2 linked regions of the Callithrix jacchus genome follow. The protein of the gene in region 2 purifies or fractionates together with the protein of the main gene of each other region. This does not show direct contact. Links are inferred from orthologs where the notes say so. Each region holds a gene or a part of one and is shown on either strand. Other genes may lie near its edges.

Region 1 (4,414 bases), on a different chromosome or scaffold from region 2:
AAGTGGGATCACAGAATAAAAATGAAATGAACATCTGGTCCACCCTCCTCATCAATGAGAGCCCACTGGTGTCAATGGGATACATTAGGATCATGATCAAAATTCCCCAAACATGAGGCCGGGCATGGTGGCTCATATCTGTAATCCCAGCACTTTGGGAGGCTGAGGCAGGCGGATCATGAGGTCAGAAGTTCAAGACCAGTCTGGCCAATATGGTGAAACCCCATCTCTACTAAAAACTACAACAATTAGCCAGGCAATTAGCGAGCCTATAGTCCCAGCTACTAGGGAGGCTGAGGCAGGAGAATCGCTGGAACCTGAGAGATAAGAGTTGCAGTGAGCCAAGAGTACACCATTGTACTCTAGCCTGGGCAAGAGCAAGACTCCGTCTCAAAAAAAAATTCCCCAATCTTCCAACAGCAGGGTCTAGAGTTGGAAGTGAAGGCAGATTAGATGGCCCTTACATTCCCCAGTTCTAACACTTTTTGACTCAGCGGCTCAAGGTGAGGCCAGGGGTGGTGGCTCAAGCCTATAATCCCAGCACTTCCGGAGGCTGAGGCGGGCAAACTACTTGAGGCCAGGAGTTTGAGACCAGCCTGGCCAACATGATGAAAGCCCATCTCTACTAAAAATACAAAAATTAGCCTGTAATCCCAGCTACTTGGAAAATCACTTGAACCCGGGAGGCAGAGGTTTCAGTAAGCCAAGATGACACCACTGCAATCCAGCCTGGGCAACAGAGTGAGACTCTGTCTGAAAAAAAAAAGAGAGAGAGAGAAAAAGTCTCGGCGTGGTGGCTCACGCCTGTAATCCTAGCACTTTAGGAGGCCGAGGCAGGCAGATCACCTGAGGTCAGGAGATCAAGATCAGCCTGGCCAACATGGTGAAAGTGAAACCCCATCCCTACTAAAATACAGAAATTAGTTGGGCATGATGGCAGGTGCCTGTACTCCCAGCTTCTAGGGAGGCTGAGACCACAGAATCACTTGAACCTGGTAGACAGTGGTTACATGAGCCGTGATCGTACCACTGCACTCCAGTCTGGGCAGCCCAGTGAGACTCCCCCCCACCCCCAAAAAAAAAAGAAAGAAAGAAAAAAGTCTCAAGGTGATATACGAGATGCCCCAAACACCAACCCACCACTAAGATAATTCATACCCTCTCATCTGGACCACTTTGGTGGTCAGCAATTTGATGAAGCTGCAATAGAGGCAAATGACATGGGTTTGGGTCCCCTCTCCTTCCTTTATTAGTTTCATGACTTTGGGAAGGTCATTAAGTCTTTCCACCTCACTTTCTTCACTTACCAGATAGAGTAACACCCAACTCAAAATCTTGAGTGTGGAAGGTGATAATGCATGAAGCACATGGCCCAGGCTCTCAGCCACATCTGACTCTCTATCCACTCTACCCTAAGCCTCCAACGCTGTGAAATGATCCAACATGCAAATCTACTCATATCACCTCCTGCCCCAAACTCCTGAACAAGCCATTCAGCGGCTCTCCAAGGATCTTCAGACCTGCTCCCTACTGACCTCCTGCCACTGCTTCCACCAGGCAGCTAACCTCACAGGCCTTCTTTCAGTTCCAGAAACACATCGCCTGTCCTGTTATTTGCTACCACAGCTCCGAAGCCGTCATCACACCACCATCCATGTTCATTGAAGTAAGCCCACTGCATCCTTCATTCCCTCAAAATACCAGTTCAAAATGGACCAAATATCCCCATTGTTGATTCTTGTTAAAAATGCAAGTTCCTGGGCCAGGCGCATGGGTCACACCTATAATCCCAGAACTTTGGAAGGCCGAGGTGGATGGATCACCTGAGATCCAGAGCTTGAGGCCAGCCTGGCCAACATGGTGAAACCCCCTCTCCACTCAAAATTTTAAAAAATGAGTGTGGTAGCAGGCGCCTGTAATCCCAGCTACTCGGGAGGCTGAGGGAGGAGAATCACTGGAACCAGGGAGGCAAAAGTTGCAGTGAGCCGAAATTGCACCATTACACTCCAGCCTGGGCAACAAGAGTGAAACTCTGCCTCAAAAAAAAATGCAAGTTCCTAGGCTCTCGTGCAGATCAACTGTAGGGACCTGAGAAGCTGCACATTTCAATCATGCGCAGCAGGTGGGTTTTAAGATTAGAAAAAGGCTCCGGCCAGTTGTCCTGGCGCTTGAGGAAGCGAGGCTGAGTTCAAGGCCAACCTGAGCAACATAAGAAGCTCTCATTAACAAAAAAAAAAAAGGTTAGAAAAAGGTGGTGACAAACCAGCCTGACTAGAACTGCCTTCCCTGGCTCTGCAGGCCCTGTCCTCAGGGGAGAATAGAGTGACCCCTCCTGGGCTTCCACTCCAAACCCTGGAAGGTCAAGGCCAGAAGATCCTTTTCATTATTTTGTCCAAAGACAGATGAAATCGGCCAGGGGTGCTGAAGAGTACAGTTTATAAAACAGTGAAACACAGTAGGAATGCCCAAAGTTTTACTTTTTCCCCACGATGCTGGTGTGAAGTTTTCCATTTTATTTTTGTTTAAAACTGTCTGGGCTTCGAGCCCAACCCTCCACCTTAGTATTGGTGTCCCACCCGCCGTGGGGGTCGCAGGGCCGGCGCCGAGGCTGGCCGGAACGAGGGGTCACTGGGGGCTTCGGGCTGTCCCGCTCCAGAGCCACCGCCGCCTCGTCCCCGCCCCACGGTCCTGCAGGCGAAGACGCAGGGACCCCGGGCTGGGGGGGCGGGGCGGGCTGTGTAGAACCACACGGAGACCGCGCAGGCCGTGCGCGCGCACACACCCCGCACGCCCGCGGCCTCGCGCCGCGCGGGCTTGCCGGGAGCGGAGCCGGCCCGCCGGCGGCGGAGACGAACGATCCTCGCCGGGGAGCGCCCGATGCCCCGCCTTACCTGGCCGCCGTCAGCCTCGTCGCCCGACTCGGCCGCGCTCCCGAAGTAGTCCTCATCCATGATGGCTCCCGGCGCGGACACCGCCATGCTCTACCGCGAGCTAGCGTGGCGCATGCGCGAGGCGAAAACGGGCGAGCGGACGCACGCGCGGCCCCGCGGCCCCGCCCCCCGCGCGCTCGGCCCGGGCGGGAGGCGGGGCTTGGAGGAAGGGGTGGGGCCTGGAGGGGGAGCAGAGCCGCGGGCTTCCCGCTAGGAACAAAGAGGACCGGGCGAAAGGAACGCCCCCCAATCGGTTTCTGAGCGCTGCTAGGGTGGGCCAGGGGCTTATGCAGAGAGGTTTCCAACTGGACTCGTGCACGGTCTCACTCCTGTTGCACCAGCCCTGCGAGCGCCAGTTTCTTCATCGGACAGCTGGGAACAAATTCTTTGGGGAGTGTCTAGAACCCACGAAAGTGTTTTAATTTCTTTTATTTTTGGTAAAAAGTACTAAACGCGGCAGGGCGTGGGGGCTCACGCCTGTAATCCCAGCCCTTTGGGAGGCCTCGGAGGGCGGATCACTTGAGATCAGGAGTTCGAGACCAGCCTGGCCAACATGCTGAAACCCCATCTCTACTCAAAATACAAAAATTAGCCAGGCGTGGTGACGGGCGTCTGTAATCCCAACTACTAGGGAGACTGAGGCAGGAGAATCGCTTGAACCCTAGAGGCGGAGGTTGCAGTGAACCAAGATCACACCACTGTACTCCAGCCTGGGCAACAGAGTGAAACTGTGTCTCAAAAAAAAAGAGAGAAAAGAAAAGAAAAAGTACTAAATGCAGTGGAAAGTAACGTTTTTAATTTTTTTTTTTTAAATGGAGGAAAGGCCCGCAAAGCAAAAGTGTCCAGAGCCCACAAAAATCTCTGGAGAAAGGACCTCCCTGGTAGCTGCCAAAGGGCGCAGGTGATGCTGTTGTGAAGCCCGCAGCACACTTCTAATGTGAAGTAGGGAGTAAGAACATGACAGCCTCTTGATAATCACGGAAAGGCTTTTGTTGGCTGTTGAGTGTGTGTGTGCTTTTTTAATTTTAAATTTGGTACATGTGCAGGTTTGTTACATTGGTATATTGTGTGATGCTTCTAATAATCCCTTCACCAAAGTAGTGAACATGGTACCAGATAGGCAGCTTTTCAACCTTTACCCGCACCCCCTCACCCCCCCCCCACCCCACCCCATCTCCCACACCTTCTGCCTTTTGGAATCCCCTGGGTCTGTTGTTCCCATCTTTGTGTCCAAATCGTGGAAAATTTTAAGCAGGGTGAAATTTTAACGCCATCAGATCTGGATACTTTAAAAGGAAATTTCCATGGCTGACCGCCGTGGCTCACACCTATAATCCCAGCATTCTGGGAGGCTGAGGTGGGAGGATTGCCTGAGGCAAGAGCTTGAGACCAACCTGGGCAACATACAGAGACATCCCCATCCCCTCGGCCAGGTATGGTGATGCATGCCTGCAGTCCTAGCAGCTCAGGAGGCTGAGGCAGGA
Region 2 (4,275 bases):
TCAGCACAGGCCCGAAAGCAGGAAAGCTCAATGTATATTGAGCCCAGGGCCTGCTTCACCTCAGGGCCACATGTCTGGCCTGTGTCTGAACGAACAAGACTGAGCTGGGTCCCTAGTCTGATTCCTTTAGGTCAGCTAAGACACAACCAGGATCAGCCATGCTTCCAGGATTAGAAAGGAGGTCTACTGAATGATCCACGGCACCCCTCTGCCTCTGCAGGTTGGTGTAATCAGTTGGGGAGTAGTGGACGTCTGCAAAAACCACAGGCGGCAAAAGCAGGTACCTGCTCACGCCCGAGACTTTCACATTAACCTCTTCCAAGTGCTGCCCTGGCTGAAGGAGAAACTCCAAGATGAAGATTTGGGTTTTCTATAAGGGGTTTCCTGCTGGACTGAATTAAAACAGCTGCGACAACACCTGTGTTCCAGATCCTTTTGGGGCGATGGAGTGGGGAACAGGCACTGGCCATGTTGTTACAGAGATCAAACCTCACAGCCGTTTTTAAAGGCTTAACCCCAATCCCAAGTGCTGAAAAACCAGAGGCTGAGGGAGATGTGTAAGCTTCCACCTCAGTGTTTTACTGAGACCAGCATTGGGGCATATGAGGCACAAGGAATCCAGCTCTGGTCCCTAGAAGCCATCCACAAGGTTTTCCTTGTAGACATCATCACTGTAGACAATCTGGGTCCTCTTGTCCCGGTGGCAACCCTTAGGGCTGTTCTGGACAGCTAGGGAGGGAGGAGAGGAAGAGTTAAGGTCTAAAGGAGAACACAGATCAGACCCTGAGGCCGACTCTGGACTACCTCACTCCTGGCCGGGGTCTCTGGAAGCCAAGTTTTCACACTGCCCTCTGGTGGCCAGGATTGTCTGTCTCCCTTAGCTCCTTCGTGCCAACCCATGGCCAAGAAGAGTACAAGTGGATATTATGATGAATGTTTTGTTCTTAGAAAAATCCCAAATGTCATTGCTGAGACACGTGAACGATGTTACCCACTACTTATAGTATGTCAAAAGTTAAAAACTAGAAAACCTCTGTAGCCCTTTGTTGACATGCTAGTCAATTCTAGTTCCTTCATTTTGTCTGAAGGGTCATTCTTGCTCTGAGCCCTTCTTTCTGCTCACTTCTTTCCCAGGAACATCTACTTTCAGGTAGAATGGTTAATCACACTAAGAAATGCTACTAGCTCCACCAGGAGAACTCATCCAGGGTGTAGCTTTGGCCCTCACCATTCTCTCTCAAGTCCCTGGCTATTTCTTCCCCTTTCTCTTTCTTCCCTCCATCAGACATGTCACTCTTTTCACCCTATCTAACAATTCCATCCCCACCACTCTGGGGCTAGAGAGAATGGCTCCTACCCACTTCCCACCCTGTGATCTCTGTACCTTGACACTACTGGCTACTCTCTCATCTCAAAGTGTGTGTCCTTTGGCTTCAGTGACCCAGGCCCCTCTGATGCTGCTCCCAGCCCCGACTCCTGCTCCTGTCTCCTTTGCTACATCAGGCTCAACGTTAGCCTAACACATCAGGAGAGCTGGGGATACGTGGGGCATGAGGAGGACAGTCCTGTTTCCTAACACAGTCCCTGAGTACTCCTCAAGCCTAGTCCTGGGTCGTTTTTTCCCTCTGAAATCAGTCTCCCTGTTATTGTTTGGGAGCATCGCTGTGATGTGGATGACTGAATCTATGTTTTCATTCCTTACCTCACACCTGAGTTCCAGATCGCTGATTTTAAATACTGATGAAACTTGTTCTACTCCATCTTGAAATGAACAAGTCCCATGAGACACTCATCTTTCTCACCAATCTCACTCCAGCTGCCACTTTCTTTCCTGTTCAGTCACTGCTTTGGAAGTTGCTTTCAATCCTTTTCTCTCCTTTCTTTACCTCTGACGGAGGATCTGAAATTTTCCTTCCCATCCCCACAGCCTCCACACAAACTGACCTCTGTCATCTCTCGGAAACCCAAGTACATGAGGGGAAACCAAAAGGAGTGGGCTGTGGGAGAGACGATGGGGAAGGAAGAATCCCATTCTTACCAAGGGAGCCCCAAACAGACTTGCCAGTAGCGGCATCCAGCATGGGCTGTTTTCGGGCTATATTGACTTTGAGCTGTACAGACTCCACCTGGGTCCCGTTGAGCTGAAGCAGAAGAGGGGAGGCAGAGGACGGGGAACAAAACATTACAGATAAACCAAAGAAGTTATTCCAGGGGTTGCTATCCTAGGAGTAGACTGAATAGGAATCTGAGAATATAAGTTTTTCTGCGTGAATAGGGAGACTTTCTCTATCAAGAGGAACCAACTTCTTCCTGGCATCTAGTATTTTGAGAAAATATGAGAACAGCAGAAGCGATGGGAAGAACAGATTTGGGAAGTTCCAACCTCAGCAACGGCCTGATCTGCTGACTCCATCTTTTCATAGGTGACGAAGGCACAGCTAGGATAAGAGAAAACAGGGTCAGTGGAGAGCCAGTGGGCTCTTGTGGACCCAACCAAACCCAGTGATCATAGGTGGCTGCAGGCAGGGCAGCTTCTTCCCTCAGGTCTCATACCCCAGGATTCCCCCAGGACTTCCTTCTCATCCTGCCCTGTTGTCATCCTTACTTTCTGGGTGGGTCCATGGAGAGGTCAATGATGTTTCCAAAAGGAGAGAAGGCCCCACGGAGGAGGGTGGGTGTCATGTCTTCTCCGTACACATAGAGAGTGTTCCCTTTCCTAGGGGCTCGCCGTTCAGGGAATGAGTCCGACCCTTTGGGATCAGGAATCACAGTCACAAGACATAGCCCATGCCACACTTCACATAGTAGGACCCACATAAACCTTAGTTAAGGTCACCTTGACCTCCAGGCAAGCTCACTCACTGCGGAAAGGACCCTCTCGGTCTCGGTCTCGGTCTCGGTCCCGCTCCCGCTCCCGATCCCGGTCTCGATCCCTGTCCCGGTCCCGCTCTCGATCCCGATCCCTGTCCCGGTCCCGGTCCCGGTCTCTGTCTCGGTCCCGGTCTCGATCCCGCTCCCGATCTCGGTCTCTGTCCCGGTTCCTCTCATGGCTGCGGTCCCGGCTGCGACTTCGGGGAGGGGAGGCTGAGGACCGGGCACCACCACGTTCTTCATAGCCCCAGTCAAAGCTGCGAGGGGGACCATCACCAGCCCCTGGGCCCTCTGCCTCTTCTCCATCTGGCCCTAGTTCTCGAAGCCGGTCGCTAGAAGACACAAAGCTGGGGAGAAGCACACTGAAGATCAAAGGGGGCTTTTACCTTCTCCCCTCAGACCCTGTGGAGACTCAACACTCCCTCAACAGCACAGCCCCTACAGCCCAAACCTCCCAAGGACTCAGGCAATCAACCCCGCCAAGTGGGCCCAGTCTTATCTCTACTCTCTAACCTCTCATACAGAGATTTCCTCTGGGGACGTCTGGATGACTGTAAAAGAGACCAATAATAGTTAAGATTCCCAGTTGCTGACATGTGGTGCAAAATACGTTAGTCTCTCATGTTCCTCTATCCCCAACCCCTCAGAGACAGAAAATTAGGAGCCTTTACCTCCTGAAGGTCATCATCAGCAGATATGCTCCTCTGGAAGGGCTGGAAAGTGGGGACTGGTCCCTTCTCAGGGTCCTGGAGAGGTGAGGGACCTCCCTCAGTGTGGAGCAGAAGGCTGCCCAACCATGGAACAAAGGTGTTCCTCTTTGCTCACCTTCTTCTAGGTTTCCTCTGATCTGTTTTTCCTTTTAATTCTATGTACATTTCTTATTTGACTATGTGGTTTTATTTTTTGAGACAGGGTCTTGCTGTGCTGTCCAGGCTGAAGTGCAATAGTGCAATCATAGCTTGCTGCAGCCTTGACCTCCCAGGCTCAAGCAATCCTCCCACCTTAGCCTCCCTAGTAGCTGGGACTAGAGGTGCGCTCTATCATGCTTGGCTAATTTCTGTATTTTTTCTTTGCAGAGACAGGTTTCACTATGTTGCCAGGGTTAGTCTAAAACTCCTGGGCTCAAACAATTCTCCTGCCTCAGCCTCCTAAAAGTGCTAAAATTATAGGAATGAGCCACTGCTGCACCTGGCATTGTTTTTTCTTATTTTTTTTTTTCCTTTTTCTGTTTAGACAGAGTCTTGCTCTGTCCCCTGGGCTGGAGTGCCATCTTAACTCACTGCAACCTCTGCCTCCTGGGTTCAAGCAAGTCTCTGGCCTTAGCCTCCTCGGTAACCGGGACTATAGGTGTACACCACCATGTTCTACAATTTTTGTATTTTTAGTAGAGATGGGGTTTCACCA

What was found.
Region 1: the proteins of NELFE (region 2) and NELFCD purify together in Homo sapiens (affinity purification with mass spectrometry; 9 studies listed by BioGRID and IntAct, counting the BioPlex papers as one, with this or other methods). This does not show direct contact. The link is inferred for Callithrix jacchus from reciprocal best matches to the Homo sapiens genes NELFE and NELFCD.

Annotation. Positions count from the first base shown.
Region 1 is NC_133506.1:54,549,266-54,553,679, reverse strand, and holds the start of NELFCD (negative elongation factor C/D), read right to left. Parts: upstream 2,989-4,414; 5' UTR 2,979-2,988; coding exon 2,892-2,978; intron 1-2,891. UniProt on the Homo sapiens protein: Essential component of the NELF complex, a complex that negatively regulates the elongation of transcription by RNA polymerase II.
Region 2 is NC_133505.1:39,471,400-39,475,674, forward strand, and holds the end of NELFE (negative elongation factor E), read right to left. Parts: intron 3,618-4,275; coding exon 3,543-3,617; intron 3,423-3,542; coding exon 3,385-3,422; intron 3,219-3,384; coding exon 2,863-3,218; intron 2,751-2,862; coding exon 2,606-2,750; intron 2,439-2,605; coding exon 2,384-2,438; intron 2,142-2,383; coding exon 2,039-2,141; intron 730-2,038; coding exon 632-729; 3' UTR 559-631; downstream 1-558. Other genes in the region: CFB (complement factor B), read left to right, coding at 221-376. UniProt on the Homo sapiens protein: Essential component of the NELF complex, a complex that negatively regulates the elongation of transcription by RNA polymerase II.